Caenorhabditis elegans: one gene and its partners. The protein of the gene in region 1 interacts with the protein of each later gene in a pairwise test. Each region holds a gene or a part of one and is shown in the gene's direction. Other genes may lie near its edges.

Evidence for each region.
Region 2: the proteins of ztf-28 (region 1) and zfh-2 interact in a two-hybrid assay, tested with the Caenorhabditis elegans proteins (one large-scale study listed by BioGRID).
Region 3: the proteins of ztf-28 (region 1) and F26F4.8 interact in a two-hybrid assay, tested with the Caenorhabditis elegans proteins (one large-scale study listed by BioGRID).
Region 4: the proteins of ztf-28 (region 1) and aptf-2 interact in a two-hybrid assay, tested with the Caenorhabditis elegans proteins (one large-scale study listed by BioGRID).

What each region holds. Positions count from the first base shown.
Region 1 is NC_003283.11:2,089,106-2,092,294, forward strand, and holds ztf-28 (C2H2-type domain-containing protein), read left to right. Parts: upstream 1-1,563; 5' UTR 1,564-1,575; coding exon 1,576-1,687; intron 1,688-1,748; coding exon 1,749-2,395; intron 2,396-2,450; coding exon 2,451-2,510; 3' UTR 2,511-2,635; downstream 2,636-3,189. Other genes in the region: gtnt-27 (Glycosyltransferase family 92 protein), read left to right, coding at 495-642; gtnt-26 (Glycosyltransferase family 92 protein), read right to left, coding at 2,648-2,942.
Region 2 is NC_003279.8:801,476-806,379, forward strand, and holds the start of zfh-2 (Zinc Finger and Homeobox), read left to right. Parts: upstream 1-1,892; 5' UTR 1,893-1,926; coding exon 1,927-1,999; intron 2,000-2,324; exon of another isoform or gene 2,325-2,397; intron 2,398-2,869; coding exon 2,870-2,947; intron 2,948-2,994; coding exon 2,995-3,420; intron 3,421-4,124; coding exon 4,125-4,405; intron 4,406-4,904.
Region 3 is NC_003281.10:4,903,467-4,907,060, reverse strand, and holds F26F4.8 (C2H2-type domain-containing protein), read left to right. Parts: upstream 1-1,587; 5' UTR 1,588-1,753; coding exon 1,754-1,789; intron 1,790-1,857; coding exon 1,858-1,960; intron 1,961-2,006; coding exon 2,007-2,097; intron 2,098-2,145; coding exon 2,146-2,260; intron 2,261-2,309; coding exon 2,310-2,579; intron 2,580-2,622; coding exon 2,623-2,742; intron 2,743-2,788; coding exon 2,789-2,886; intron 2,887-2,933; coding exon 2,934-3,009; 3' UTR 3,010-3,064; downstream 3,065-3,594. Other genes in the region: kbp-2 (Mediator of RNA polymerase II transcription subunit 21), read left to right, coding at 3,191-3,286, 3,334-3,549.
Region 4 is NC_003282.8:13,412,996-13,417,584, reverse strand, and holds aptf-2 (Transcription factor aptf-2), read left to right. Parts: upstream 1-1,533; 5' UTR 1,534-1,630; coding exon 1,631-1,642; intron 1,643-2,713; coding exon 2,714-3,205; intron 3,206-3,253; coding exon 3,254-3,597; intron 3,598-3,653; coding exon 3,654-3,909; 3' UTR 3,910-4,025; downstream 4,026-4,589. Other genes in the region: Pelle-like serine/threonine-protein kinase pik-1, read right to left, coding at 677-788. UniProt on the Caenorhabditis elegans protein: Sequence-specific DNA-binding protein that interacts with enhancer elements to regulate transcription of selected genes. Required for neuroblast and epidermal morphogenesis, perhaps acting in cooperation with transcription factor aptf-4.

The sequences.
Region 1 (3,189 bases):
AATTGCAAACTTTTGTTGCAGTGGAATTTTCTTTCGATTGTTTTCTGCAGAATAATATTTTTTATCGAAGAACTATGAAGAGCCCACCAACGTACAGTACTCCTTAAAGGCGCACACCTCTTCGAAAATACAAATTATCGTGTCGAGACCAGATATCGTATTTTTAGCTCAAAAATCACAAAGTTTCGCGTGTGTATAATAACACGGTCATATGTAAATTCAAGCAGCAGCTCGTGTACTTCTCGAGGAGAAGTGTGCATTTGTTTTTTGCAGAGATTTTTGAATTTTTACTGAAATTCTTGCCGATTTTTGTGTATTATTTTTGAAAATAGTGAGCATTTTAGACTGAATTTTCTAATTTTTTAGTGTTTTAGGCGGAAATTCTGTAGAAAAAATTACCGAAAATGGCCAAAAATCAGGAAATTTTTGCCAAAAAACGCACACTTGTCCTCGAGGAGTACACGAGCCGCGTAAATCGACACTGACATTTTCAGACACTACCGAATGACCTCCGTCAGAAATAGTATCGGAAATGGTTGGATTTACGGCGACAACTTCACTATAACCGAGCTGGATAGGGAGCTGGAGAAGCTTCTGGTGCATAAAGTTGCTAATATGGCTGAGCATATTTATGGGTCTTGAAATGAAGAAATTGCAGTAACTTACTGTACCGGTTTTGTATTCCTTTTTTTTCATGTCGAAATAAATCAAATCACAAAGTAGCGCCAGTGGGAAAATTGCTTTAAAACATGCCTATAGTGTCACAATGGCCAAATATCATAGTAAAAAAATTCAATTTTTTTTTCTAAATTTTATATGACTTTTTGAAAATTGGAAAAATCTCAGTTTTGCCCGAACTGCAATTTGAATTACCGCCAAGAGAATTCGTTCGATGGAGCGCGCTTGCACGTTTTTATTTTTATTTAAAATTAAATATTTATTGTTATTTTCACTCATTTTTCACCGATTTTTCATGTTTTCAGTGTATTTTTTTTTTGAAATATAAAGAAAAAATTAAGATAAATTCAAATAATCGATTGAAAACCTACTTTACAAGCGTAGAAACAAAGAAGTAACACTTTTAAACGACGTCGACCCTGAATTAATTAATTTTACAGATTTTTTTCGTTTAAAAATATTATTTATTAATTATATGATTAATGTGATTAGTGAGAAGCTTTTTTAGTCTACTATCCTTGCAAAAATTTTGTAGGTCAGTAAAAAAATTCTTTTTTCTTCTACACTCAAAATAATAAAACTGCGTTGCGTGTACGACCAAATAGGCCCCGCCTTTTAATCGTCCACTCACGGGAAAAAGGCAAAAATATGGGAGGGGGGGGACAGCTCGCCACGCCAACAGTGAGAAAAATAGTGTGGTGCGCGGACCTCGAATGATGTCGGCTGCTGATATTGGCTACACCAGCCGCTTTTTGCCTTTTCCCCGTGAGTGAACGAGAAAAAGGCGGGGCCTATTTTGGCGTACACGCAACGCAGTTTTATTATTTTGAGTGTAAATTGATGTAAAATTCTAAAATTTTTCTTCAAAATGTCCTCTTCTTTCAGAAAATCAGCTTCATGGATACTTCCGATCACAAGCCCCTTATCGACCGCTTCGAAACGGAATTCGCTGAAAAATCGTCACTGCTTCGCAAAGAAGAAAGCGAGCTTAAGCGGCCGGATCTCAGAGGTGAGTTTTATTTTATTTTTTTTTGTAATTAAAAAAAAACATTAATTTTTCCATTTTTCAGGCGATTTCCTCTGCTTGTCCTGCGGCCAAAACTTCAAGCACGGCGCTTCTCTCAACCGCCATCGTAAACTGGTGCATAGCGACGAGTACACCTGCATGCTGTGCGCCCGTAAGCTCTACCTGAAGGAGACCGTCCGTGATCACATGAGAAATGAGCACTACTTGGGTCAAGTATACACCTGCGGATGCTGTAACTGGACGTTTTCCAACAAAAAAGCCCTCACCGAACACGCAAAGGCCATACAGGAAACCGGAGCTCCAGGAGACGCCAACCCGATTGCGAAATCCGGCAATTCACCGGGATCACTGCTGAAATCGCCAATTCAAAGAGCCGGCTTCAAGCTTAATCGTCTTTTGAACAAGTCTCTGTCGCCGTCGACTTCCAATTCAACAACGTCCTCATCTTCCCGCGACGCTTCAGGATCGCCCCAACCGGAGCTGGAGCTGAAGCTGGAGCCAGAGCCAGAGCCAGAGCCCAATGAAGAAGCTCTCGAGTACAAAAGATTCTTCAACAATGCAGTCGACACAATTCTACAGAGAAATTTTTTCACCGATCAGCAGATCACTGAAGTCGACACATGGGTCATAATCATCGAAAGTGCGAATGCTCTTGCGACGGCGCTTCAGAGCTACAAGAAAGCTCAGCAGGTAGCTAATTAAAACATTTTTTTTAAAGATAAATTTTCAAAAAATAATTTTTCAGATCCAGCCAGCCGAGCCAGCCATGATCCCAGAAAAGCGCATCAAGCCGGAAATTGAGTAATCGTTGATGTTCGAGTGTCTTCATTATGTTTATAGTTCTACCTCACTGCTCACTTTTTGATTTTCATGTTATGTTAATTTACATTTTCAATTTTCGATAAGCTTTAATACATTATTTTGATTAAAAAAAAGATCCAATTACTGATAGCATCCAATCTCATCACTAAAGAATGCATCACTCGCCCAATGGAATGTGATTGGAAACATGGGCGGCCCGGAGTGATACGTGGCATCTGAATGGGTACACGGCATCGCTTCTCGTTGTGAAAGCTCACAATCAAAAGCATTTACACACGTGGATTCTGCAGAAAGAAGGCCGGCGTCTCGAATGTGATAAAATGATTGATTATAGCACTGGAATACGATGTTCGTATAAAAATCATCTTTGGGCAGAGAGGAGGTTAAGCTGGTGAATTCTGGCTGGGAAATTGTGCTGAAATTTTTTAAAATTTGAACTTTTGAAATTGTGGTTCCCGGTCCTGACACGACACATTTTTGTTGAATGCAAGTGTGTGCCTTTAATGAGTACTGTAACTTTAAACTCGGGTTGCTGCGTAAGGTATGAAATATCGATAAAAAAACCAGAGTTTTTGAAAATACAGTACTCTTCAAAGGCGCACACCGCATTTACAAAAACTGGTCGTGTCGAGACCGGGTACCGTGTTTTTCTTTGTTAAAAT
Region 2 (4,904 bases), on another chromosome or scaffold:
TTTCGACACATCGTTTAAACGTGTTACCTCTCTCGGGGCCCCCTCTTCTCCTACTTCTTATTTGCTCAAAATTTGCGCGTCGAAATTTCTTCGTCGTGCGCTGCCCCTTCCGAATAATCAGATTCACCAATGTATAAAATAGGCCACGCCTCACTTTTTCCACACCCATCATCTTCCCTCAACTTTCCTCTTCTCAAATGCCTAATCAGCCAGTTATAACGAGGGTGCTCTTCGTGTGGCGCCCCGCCCATTTTATTGCTCCTCTCACGCTTCATTCTCACTTTTTCTGGGGATCCTTTTTTTTGCAGACCTAAAAATTTGAGCTCAGCCATATTTTTTTTGTAAATATAATCAAAAAAAAATAGACATTAGTCAAAAAAGTTGTTTTAAGCCTAAAAAAATTTTTCAGATAAAAAACGTTTTTCTTTAACTTTTTTGAACAGTTTTTCAGTGAAATATTTTTAAATTTTTATTTTAAAAAAATGTTTGTTTATCTAAGCCTAAGCCTGAGCCTAAGCCTAATAACCCTAAATAGCGTCAGTGTGGGAGCTCACGCTCCCCCACTGACGCCAAGCCTAAGCCTACGCCTAAGCCAAAGCCTAGGCCTAAGCCTGGGCCGAAGCTGAGACCTAAGCTTAAGCCTAAGCCTAAGACTAAGACTGAGTTCAAGCCTAAGCCTAAGACTAAGCCTGAGTCTCAGCCTAAGCCTAAGCCTAAGCCTAAGCCATTTTTAAAAAGCTTAAAAATTTTTGCAATTACTATTTTTTCTGAAAATCTGTAAAAATATCGAATTTTTAGAGTTGCTATAAAATTTAAAATAATATTCAAAAAATAATCCGAAAAAATTAAATTTTTTTTCTCAAAACGTAGATCATACAGAATCAGCTTTAAAAAATTCAAACCATTTTTCGTTTCAAAAATGTTCAGAAAATTTGTAAAACTTGAGTTTTGAAGAAAGTTTTCATAAACTAGCTCTTGAATAGGGTTTTTAAGTAGGCGTTAAAACGCTTGCCTGCCTGACCTTCAGGCGACTTTCGCCTGCCTGCTTGACTTTCAGACGTTCTCTGCCTGCCTGCCTGACTTTAAGGCGACCTCCGCCTGCCTCTCGCCTCAATCCGAGCCTTATCTCTTAAAATGTTTTTCATCAAATTGATAAAAATACGGAAATTACAAAATTTTGTAAGTTCATGCCAAAATGCAGGCATCAGGCCCTGAGGCCACGCCTGCCTAGGCCTCCGACTTTCGTTCTACAATTGTCGTTGCCGTTTCCTTTATCCCATTTTCATACCCCAAAGTTATGATTTTTCTTACACCCCTTGCGCTGCTGCTGCTTCCGCTCCCGTGATCTTATGAATCAGTAGTCAGAACTGCAGGTGTGAATCTCCACAATGATCACCCAATAAACGCGAAACACCATTAGAAACAAAGTGTCCCCCGTTTTTTTTTTCTGAGAGTGTCGGCACCCCCCTAACATATGCGGGGAACATTGTCTCAAGTTTTGTGTGCTCCTCCAGCTCCTCCATATGGTTACCGTAGTCCCCTGTCAGTGTTGTGTAATTGTTGTTGTAACTATCCCCCGAATACCTCTCCTCACATTCATTCACAACACAGGTGTCAACTCAACTCTCAGTGCTCATTTGAAGTTTATGAAGTTTAGCTTCCGGGGATGGCTCTCCTGGGCTCCCCGCTCCCTCGAAAATTTAATTAATTGCAAGCACATGTGGTGGTGGTGGGGCGAGCTCCGCGCTTCCCCCCCCGCCCCGATTCTCTCTCTCTCATTTGCGACTCATTAGATTTTAAATCACTCTCAAACTTTCCACTTTTCCAACTTTCGCGTTTTTTAAATTTTTTTTTCACTTTTTCCTCACAAATTCATCCAAAAAAATTTCCAGAGTTGCCCCGCCCATATATTGGCTAAATGGTAGAATGGACGTGGCACTTTTGACAATGGATGACAACAACAAACCGCCGACAAGTTCAGAGTCTACGGAGAGTAGGGGTGAGTTTGGCCGGGGGACCGATAATTTTTAGGCCAAGACTTCTTTTTTTTTAAATCATTTTCAAAGGTACGTTACCTTCACGTGGTGCCAGGTTGTCCCATTGCTTTTTGATCTACAGAAAATGCGGGATTTTTTCCCCAAAAAATGTGACATAAGCAAGTTTTTAAATCTTTTCTCCCGCATTTTTTTGTAGATCTACGTAGATCATACTCTGACACCACGTGTACCTTGAACCTCCTGGCTTTCTGAAACTAGAGTTCGTCGCTAGAGCGCATTTGCATTGTCGTGGTATTTAATTTACAGTACCGCCAGAATCATGTCGCGCCGCTTGTAGTCTAGTGGTTAACACGCTTCAGCTCTAAACAATAGGTCCGGGGTTCGATTCCTTGCAAGATGAAATTTCTTTCTCAAGATGGAGGTACATATGTGCTTTAAATGTGCACTAGAGATAGCGAAACTGATACCATGGTCCGACATGTACAGGGTTCCGCGCGCGCCTAGGGCCTCCAAAACGCCTGCTGCTCCAGTTTTGCGGCGACCTCCGCCTAACTCGCGGCGCGCCTTCTGTATAGTCACGGCCTTCTGTCTTCCCTCATAAATTGAAATGGAAGAGTTTTTGCCGAACTAGGCCATCTTGGCTCGGTCACATCTGGGCTCGATTTTAGTTGTAAAACTAAATGTATTTGTCCGTGTGGAGTGCACGACTTGCCCACGCGTTGACCGGCGGGCGATTGCCAATGGAGCGCGAAAAATTCAATAAGGAAGGCCAGAACCCCGTGTATAGTGCCGCGCGTGGAGCCCGAAAAGTGTCAGCCGCGGCGGAAGAACCACATTCCATAGGACTAAAAAACTAAAGTTCTCTCTTTCAGAAACATCACCACCAATGATGCCAGATTCTGCGGAGATAATGCGACTTCTTACGGATCCTTCGACGGCTCAGATGTTTGGTAGGTCATAGATCAAATTTTTTCCGCAATTTCCCGAAAAATTTCAGCCAACGAAAACACAAAATGTCAGCTGGGACGGATTCTCGCCGCGTCAGGCTTCGACGAGGCGAGCCTCTCCTCCTCGTTTCCGTTCGATCCGACGCTCGGCGCGTTCGCCGACATTTCCCAATTCTCATCACTCCGAAATTCGTCGAAAACGCTGAAATGTCCAAAGTGTAATTGGCACTACAAGTACCAGGAGACCCTTGAAATTCATATGAAGGAGAAGCACAACGATGTGGATGTCAAGTGCATGTTTTGTGCCGAGAACCGTCCCCACCCGAAGCTGGCTCGCGGTGAGACGTACTCGTGCGGTTATAAGCCATATCGATGCGATTTGTGTCGGTACAGTACGACGACAAAGGGCAATTTGAGTATTCATATGCAAAGTGATAAGCATCTTCATGCAGTGCAAGAGCTCCCGAATAGTATAGGTAGGTGGGGGGGGGAGGCGAAGGGTACTGTAGTTTTCGTGGTGGGACCCAAGAATTTGAATTTCACAAGAATTTAACTGTTGAACTCGAACTTTTCGATTCTAGGGTCTCGCCACGCAAAAACACTTACGCCAACTTTTTTGAACCCTAAAAAATGATACTCAAATTAGAGTTCTCAGTGAGCTAAATTCGATTTTACAGTATTTTTTTAATTTGACGTTCTGTGGGTCTTACACTCAAAGGGTACTGTAGTTTTCGTGGTGGGACCCACTTGTCCAAAAATGGACGTGATTATATTTGGATTAAAGCCCCTAACTTTTCTGATTTTTTTAATAAATTGGTTTTATTTTGAAAAGACTGAGAAAATTGAGTTTAGATCGAAATCAATAAAAATCGCGTCGAGACCCAAATTTCCCGGGTCTCGGCACGAAAATGGGGGAGAGGGTACTGTAGTTTTCTGGCTTCTCTCATAAATTGAAATGGAAGAGTTTTTGCCGAACTAGGCCGGCCATATCTGGGGTAGATTTACGGCGCGTTGCGTGTCGCGGCTCAATTTTTGTTTTAAAACATGAGGAAGACCAGAATCCCGTGTTTTCGTGGTGGGACCCAAATGGGTCATGATTATACTTATTTGAAAGGCCTTAAGCTGAATTCAGATTTAAGATTTTTATTATTTTAATTCAAAAATATCCTGAATTTTCCAGAATTCGCAGCCAACTTCGCGTGTGGTGCTCCAGTTAGCCGAAGTAGTCCAATCGAAGAGTCCGACGGATCCCTGGTCTGCTTGATCTGCGGTATCTTCGCCACCGAATCTATCGCCGAAATGATGGAACACGTGGAACAAGACCGTTCCAGGACGTTCCAAGGAGACGTTACCGTCCTAAACGGGAGCTTCCGGTGCCACTTGTGCCCGTATAATACCACATTGAAAGCCAATTTTCAACTACACACAAGGACGGATAAGCATCTGCAAAAGGTTCAAATTGTGAGTTTTGTATTCCCCTCTCATCATCTTCTTATTTTTATTGTGTCGCCCTTTTCCCATTTTTGTGTGTCTGTGTGTGTATGCGCACCGATTTGCATATACACATAAATTCATGATTTAATAGCGTAATGAGTAATATTTGCTTTGCCAAGGCTAACAGTTTTCGTATTTTAAAGCCTTTTTTCTACAATTTTTGAAAAAAAAATTCAAAAATTTGAACATTTCAATATATCCCTAGAAAGCTCAAAATTGTAGTGAAAATTTTGAATTCAGTACGCTGAGACCTTTAAAATAAGTATAATCATTACTAGGTTTTGGTTCTGACGCGAAAGTGTTCGTGGCGGAGCCCAAGCAAGGCGTAATTGATTATAGGGTCTTTGCACGCAAAAAATTTAAGGTCCGGTAGGCGTGGCGGGGAGTTTTTCTTGAATTATTTTAGTTTTTCATAAATTTTCAATTTTTTGGAATTTATTTTTCTCTCCCTTCCCCCGCGTAGTCT
Region 3 (3,594 bases), on another chromosome or scaffold:
CCCGAAAATATGGTACCCGGTCTCGACACGAAAATTTTTCGTTAAACGATGTGCACCTTCAAATAGTACTGTAGTTTCAAAATTTTGTTTTTGGGAAGTTACCATCGATTTTTCAGATCGAGTTTAATTTTTCTCATTTTTAAAAAATGTTATGTGATTGTTCTCGTGTGTAAAAATATATATTTCAATCGAAGACCTATAAAACATCAATGAAAACCATGTTATGCCTGAATCTGGTGAAATGTGTAGTGAGAAGAATAAGGGGGTTATCGCAAGATCCTAAACATAAAAAAATATATGCTGAAAATGTAAAGACCGATTTGAAAATAAAAACAAAAAAAAAGAAGTAGATGTCACTTCAAGACCATTTATTGACTCTACTACTCTTCCTTTTCTCTCCATGAAAAAAATGGAAATGTCGTTTCGAATCAAAAAGTGAGAAGTGAATGAAGTGTGTAGATGACTCACTGGCGGTATACGGAAAGAAAAGAGAGGAAAGGTGATACAAACTGATAAGAAAACTGTGTGTGGGGAAATAATGTGGAAGAGAAAGAGATATAGAGATAAAAACGGGAAGAACTGAGGAAATATAGATCTATTGCATATGTATTTGCATAAGGGGGTTAGGCAGTGCTAATAGTTTTTACAAGAATGATGAAACATGAGCATACCAGAAATATTATTGGAATGAGCAAACTCGCACGGAAACTTTCTCTAGTTTATTTTTGAACCCTCTATTGGTTTATATAGGATTACAAGAAGACAATCAACATCAAACAAGTGTTGCAACGTGCCAGAATACGGTCCCCGGTCTCAATTTTTCCTTTTTCTGGCATTCTTATTAATACTTGTGAAAAAAGATTATTTAATAAACAGCAAAATGTGCAAGGAAACGAGATAAAGTGGAAACTACAGTACTCCTCAAAGGCACACATTTTTATGTGCGACATTTTTTAAAAACTGTTTTAGGTGTGCCGAGATCGGGAACCGTAATCATAAATTGCAAACATTTATATGCGGTCTTATTAAATACTACAAAATCGCAACAAACAAATGAACAGCTTCCCTTGGGTGTCTTCTGTTTTTGTTTGACATTCTTGGGAAATAGTAGTTAAAGTTTGTTGCAAATGTCAAAGGAGATATTGAGTAATGAATGATGCGCGTAAATCGACCTACTTATTGGATAGATTAGAGATTCATATCTAACTTTGTAATTCTATGTGCATTAAAGGTGTATAAAATATATATGAGTGTATATTGTGTTATGAAATATTGTGAATGAACGGGTGTATGTCAATGACAGCTGCTCTTTTCCTTGCTCTTTGTTCAGGTTTTGAGTGCACCTCTGCAGACCTCTGCCAATTATTTTGGCAAAAGAAAACGGGAATTTCTAGGCCACGCACTTTACTCGATTCTGAACGGAATAACAAACCAATTTTCAAAAAGAAATTGTATTAAAACAAATAAACATATCATTGTGCATTGTATTTATTGAAACTAATTACAATTTATGATCCAATATTATGCAAATCGATCAGTTTTTGATAGGTACCCAATTCGTGGCCGAGTCTCTCGGAAAGCTAGGCCAAATGCCGTTTTTGGCGGCAGTCGACGCGTTTTGAAAAAGAAAGAATGAGGACACGCAAACGTTTTTCTTGTCAAATATTCCCGTGACCTTTTGACAACTCATAATCATGGAGACGTGTAAGATTGATGATATGGACGGTGACGGTGAATCATTATTCAGTGTTAAATGGAAGGCCTTCCGGAAGAATCCGCGATTCTCGAGGTAATTATTAATATTTATTCAAAGCTTTTATATTTTTACTTTTAAGTATCATAATCAAAACGTTTCAGGTGAATGCCAATACAACTTCCCCCGATGTAAAAGTTAAATGTAAACAATGTGATCGATTTTTCACGTCTGAAAGATCCCTTCGTTGTCATATCAAAGTGCACAGTTAGTTTCAGGCGATTAGATTTATGAAACCAATATTTATTTTTAGATGACAAATTGTTGGAGTGCTATTTCTGCGACAAAATGTTCAATCGAACGGATACTCTGTTTTTCCACGCACTCGACCACATCAGCAAAGGGTAATTGCAAGAAATATTTTGAAATTTTTGAAAAACTGTTTCGTTCAGAACTCTACCTTGTCGTGCCGAAGGATGTGATCAACTCGTTGAGACCATGTTAGAGGGCGAGAATCATGCGAATACAGCTCATCATGTGAATGGTACAGTATCGATAAAGTGCAAGGTAAGTAAAATATCGATAGATTGAAACAGAACTAATCAAAACATTTCAGGATTGCTCCGAAGTTTCAGTATCCTTCCGTAAAATGCTATTCCATCACACATTCAAGCATGGAGAACTTAAAGAATATGCGGAGGAAATGATTATCAAGCAGAAAGATTTCCTTCGAATGAAAAAGAATCAAAGCCGGAAGGAAAGAAAAACTTCAGTTGGAGCAAAGGAAGAATCAAAGCAATTCGATGTTCAAGATGCTTTAGAAATCGAAGTCAAGGAAGAAATCTATGAAGCAGACGAAGATGATGGGATTTTAAAGCAATTGCAGGTTGGATTTATAGCATGATAGAGGTTGAAACTTGAATTTTCAGATGGCTATGTCTGTATCATCAGCTTCCAATTCGGAGATGATCGCGAAACTATCGGATGTGATTGCAGAATTATTCCCATTGAATGATAACGAGAAATACCAATGCACTCATTGCTTGATGGTATGGTTTTTGCTCTGGAAAATCTTAAAAACGTAATTTTTCACAGAGTTTCACCGACGCAATCCTCTGGATGACGCACATTGGATATCACGAAATTGACGATCCGTTCAAATGTTCTGGATGCGGCCGAAAGTTTGAGAATCGGTAGGCTATTTCGAAGATTTTGCTCTGAAGATCAGTAATAATTACAGACAAGCGTTCGCTCTTCATCTAAACTACTTCGCACATACAATTGGTTTTGGAGGAGAAAACGAAAGCGATGAATAGTTCTATTTCATGTTCCTTTATTTTATTTAACAAATAAATATGCATAATACTTGTATTTCTGCTCAAATTTATTCCTGCGTGAAGTTCCATAACTTTTAAAATACTTCTTGTTTAATTTCGTTTCATAGTTTCTTGTTAAGTGTATTTGTAAGTTTTCCGCGTTTTAGATAAAATCAATATCATGTCGCAAAGAAAAGAAGTCTTGAATCAAATGCTGGACACAACTCTGGAAATATTCACAAAATCATTGTTAGAGTCCCAGGATTTGTGGAAAATGGTAAGCTTGATATTTTTGCACGTTTTATCCAGAACTAAAATTTTCAGAGTTCTCATAGAAAACTCAACATGGATAAAGCTGCAGTGGATGCTGTGATGGCTCGAATGGCGAAATCAACACAACAAAAAGTTTTGGAGAAGACTGATCAAATGATTAAAGAAAATAGTGTTTACGAACTTTTCGATGATATGGAACAATTGACGAGAGAATCTGAAGAATTAAATAAGCAACTCGGAAGAGAAATGGGATATAATCCAGTCAATGTTTGTATATTGATTTTAATATTAATATACACATTTTCATCGTTT
Region 4 (4,589 bases), on another chromosome or scaffold:
AAAACTTCTCAAAAAATAGTTATGACAGCTCAAAAAATGACCTAAAATTTGTTAAAATTTGAAATTTGACCGACTTGTAAAGCGGCTGGAAACAATTTTTTTGAAATCACCGTCAAATTTTGAGTATACATGTCAATTAACTTGCGTTTTCGACTACTACTTTACAATTAGGTATTTTAAAGTCGATGGACGGCGAGATTTGGTTTAAAAAAATTGTTAAAAATCTCGTCGTCCATAGACTTTAAAATACTTAAATCAAGTTGAAAACGCAAGATAATTAACTGGTATACCTACAATTAGACGGTGATTTCAAAAAAGTTCGTTTCCAGCCGCTTTACAAGTCGGTCAAATTTCAAATTTTAACTTATTTTAGGCCATTTTTTAAGCTGTCATAACTTTTTTTAGAAGTTTTATTAAGAAATTCGGTGTTTTCAGACAATTTTGAGTCTAATAAAGCAATAACAAAAATTCGACTACACCACCTTTAAAGGAAAACTATAAAAAAATTCGATGAAAAATCCGCAGATTCGAATGTTTGAAATAACTATTCTTTAAAGTGCTTTAAGAATTAAAGGCGCACACCGTTTCGCATATAACAAAAATTTGTCGTTTCGAGACCCTATTTTTGGAGCAAAAACCGCGAAATTTCAATGATTTGTTATAAAAAAGTCCGAACCAATCGTCTCCCAAGTGTTATCCGTATCTAAAATCGCACATATTTGCTGGAGAACTTCTCGTTTCATGAATGGAATCATTACAACTTCTGATACTCCAAGAGAATCATCCATTGTCTCTGAAAAATTCCAGATTATTTTTAAAAATATGTATTTAAACAATTTTAACAAGTTTAATTTTAAAAGAGTAGCTAATCAAAAATTATTTTGCTTTATTAAACTAAAAATGGTCCCAAAATATCGAATTTCATAACAAGACTGTTCAAAAATGCTTTTAAAAGGTTTATTTCCGCTAAAATCTCCAATTTCACCAACTTTTCCGTTTCACAGCGATCGGAAATTGATTTTTATCTGACTATTGCCCTATTTTGCTCATTTTCCTATTTATCTTCTGTTTTTTTGTTGATTTAATAGTTTGGATTTAAAAATTAAAATTTTAGATGATAAATTAACGAAACAACGCAAGAAAACCAATAAAAATATTCAAAATAGAAGAAAAATCAAATAAAAATCAATTTCTAACCGTTGTGTAACGAAAAATTGGGAAAATTCTATTTTTTCTTCGAAATTAATTTTTTTCTCGTTATAAAATTCGGGGTATTCGGGCCTTTTTGAGTATAATAAAGCAATAAAACTCCTCCTTTGATTGGTTTTTTGAAAAAATGTATAGAATGTTTTGAATGTGTTTTTATTATATTTTTAAAAATAAAAATATTTTAAATTAAAATTAAAATTTAATATTTAATTAAACTTATAAAACGAACAATTCTGAAATTCCAATAAATCCAAAAGCGGAGGAAAGCGGAGTGTCGTCACTTCCTCTCGTCGTCTCATCCCTCTCCCTCTCTCTACATTTTCTCTCTCTTCCATTCCATTACTTGGCACATTCTTCTGGAGATGTCACCTAGAAAACAGATGTTTTTGCAACACTGGAAGAGTAGATCAATAATAAAAGAATGGATATACAGGTGAGCGCGCACAGATTTGATCTCCACACCATAAACGATTTACAACCAATGAGGTCAAATATTGTAGAAGGCATTCGATCTACCTTATTAATGTCATTTCTTTCTTCCCTTTTTTTCAGCTTTTTTTTTGCTTTTTTTCCATAATTTGGAGGTCTGGCAATAACAATTTTACTTTCAAGCTGGAGTACCGAAATCTGAGACTTTGTTTTTTACACCCAAAATAGCCCAAAAATACCGAATTGGTAATGGGACGTTTTGAAAATTTCTCAAAAAAAAGTTATGGCAGTTGAAGGTTCTGGAAAAATGGCACATTTTCAGCTAAAATCAAAATTTTGGTCAACTTCTCGGTGTCACAGCGTCTGGAACATCATTTTTATGTAATTATCACTATTTAAAGACTATTGCGGTCTTCTATTAAGCGTTTATTCGTTGATTTAAACATATTTTCGGTAAGTGGGACACAAATAAAAGTTACATTTTTGTGCCCCACTGACAATAAATGTACTTAAATCAACGAATAAACGCCTAATAAAAAACAAAAATATTCTTTAAAAAGTGATAATTGAATCAAAATTAAGTTCCAGACGCTGCGACACCGAGAATTAGACAAAAATGTTGATTTTAGCTGAAAATTAGCCTTCTTTCCAGAACTTTGAGCCACCATAACTTTTTTTTTTGAGAAATTTCCAAAACGTCTCATTACACAATTCGGTAGTTTTGAGTCATTTTGGGTCTAAAAAAGCAAGGGTTCAGATTTCGGTACCCCATCTTTAAAATATTCAAATGGATCCAAATGCTGAAATCCCACAAAATTAAGTTTTAGAAATACAGTTAATTTCTGACGAATTTTTCAACTTTCTGCCGAAATTGATAAAAAAAACCAAAGTGCGGCACAGAAAAATGGGCGTGGTTAAGTGGCTAAAGTGCGGAAATTCAAATTATTCAAAAAAGGATATTATGAAGAAGCGAAAATTCGTCACAATCAACTTTTTTGTTAAACTCTGTAAATTTATATTGTCTGCTTTTGAATCCATTCGCGTATTTTAATTTATTCATTTATTACTTTTTCAGATGTTCACCACGCTCAACTCTACTGTTCCAACGGAACCCGTGGTGGGACCTGTGGAACCTACAGTACCTACAGTACCCGCCACAAAAGAGACTGGCCCTTCAAGCTCTGCAGAGTGCTCTACCCAACCCGCCGTTGCCGAGCAAGAAGACAACTCCCTTTTGGCACAACTTTTAAAAGGAAAAATCACGTCTGATGATGCAAAGTTGCAACCACCACGTGGACCTTTCGAATACGCACCGATGCTCTCCGAGGAGGCACAATTTGCGATTAAGCTGGCGGGTCTTCTCAACCCGAATCCGGTCACTGAACAGGACCCGAGCACTTTCAAGCCGCCTCCGAAAATGAGCAATAATGTTCGAAAAAACATTAATTTGACTCCGGTTATTGAGAATGCAGTTCCGAGTGGATTTGAACTGGAAAGTCCGAAAGATCAGGCATTTGATGTGGTTCATGGAAGACTATCTATGGGACAGAATCAGACATGTTATTTTGTACGTTTACGGTAGAAGTTCAATATTAAAATTTAAATAATCTTCCAGGTCACAGTCGAGGAAATGAGACGAAGATTGCAAAGTCCGGAGAAGCTCAATAGTTCGAGTATCGCATGCAATCTTAAAAGGCCAAAACTGAAGAATGGAGGTGAACTGATGCGCGCTCAACTGAGAGATCATGGAATCAAGGTTCAACTGAATGCGAAACAGAAGGCTTTTCCCAACAAAGTGATCGCTTTGGTCGAAGCGGAAGCTGTTCATTTGGGACTTGATCTTGGAACAGCTGTACGAGATGATTATCCAGTTCAAGATATAATTCAAGAAGTTGCTCATGAAGCATTGGCTGACGAGGATGCAGATCTGGATGCGTTGATGAATGATAAGGATTTCACGTAAGTTGACTATATTCCAATTTCTCAATTCTGACGCCAAATTCCAAATATTTCAGAGAATGTATGTCAGCACTTGAATCAGTTTTCACATCAGTCGTCCCTCCGATCACTGGAATCGAGCCAAAACCGTCGAACAACATGCGACTGAACAATGGAATGGAGACCTTTTCATCAGCTTCACATGGACTTGGAATCGTGTCTCAACGGGTTTGGCTCCCCCAATTGACTGCAATCGGAAATGGAGTCGCATCTGAACTTCGACGCTTGACAGAGACGCCAACTGAATCAAAGCCAGAGGAATTGAAAGCATAAATTCATATTTTCATATTCTGATATTTAAAACAATCTGATTACCAAGGTCTCACTTATTTTCCATGATCTCTATGATGTTTTCACTTAATTTCAATGAAACTTTTTATTTATTTAAATCCTCATACGATGTTCCTTAGTACTAGGAAATGCATCATTAAAAATGATTTTCATATTGCTAGTACGTCTTATAGAGTAGCTTCGAATTCACTTTATACATTTGAATAATATTGAATTTTATAGGTTTTACACATCATTTTGATCATTTTGATGTGTAAAACTTTGAAAAATTCATTATTATTCAAATGTATAAAATGAATTCGAAGCTTCTCTATAAGACGTACTAGCAACATGAAAATAATTTTTAATGATACATATTCCAAAACTGAAAATTAGGAATTTCTTTACCCCCGTTCCTCACGTGAAAACATTTATTGACCCTGTGGCAATGTGCGCTTGCGCGTCTGCGTCTCCAGAAGGCGTAATCTCTCGTGTTCAAACACTTTCTCAACTGACCATTTGTTTGCGTCGTTGCCGACGGCTTAACCATATGTTGCCTTTTCCCCCTTACATTTATACAAGACAGTAATATTAATAAATCGGTTTGATCTACAAAAATGCGGGAATTTTTTGGTCAAAAAATGTGACGTCAGCACGTTCTTAACCATTCGAAATCAGTTGAC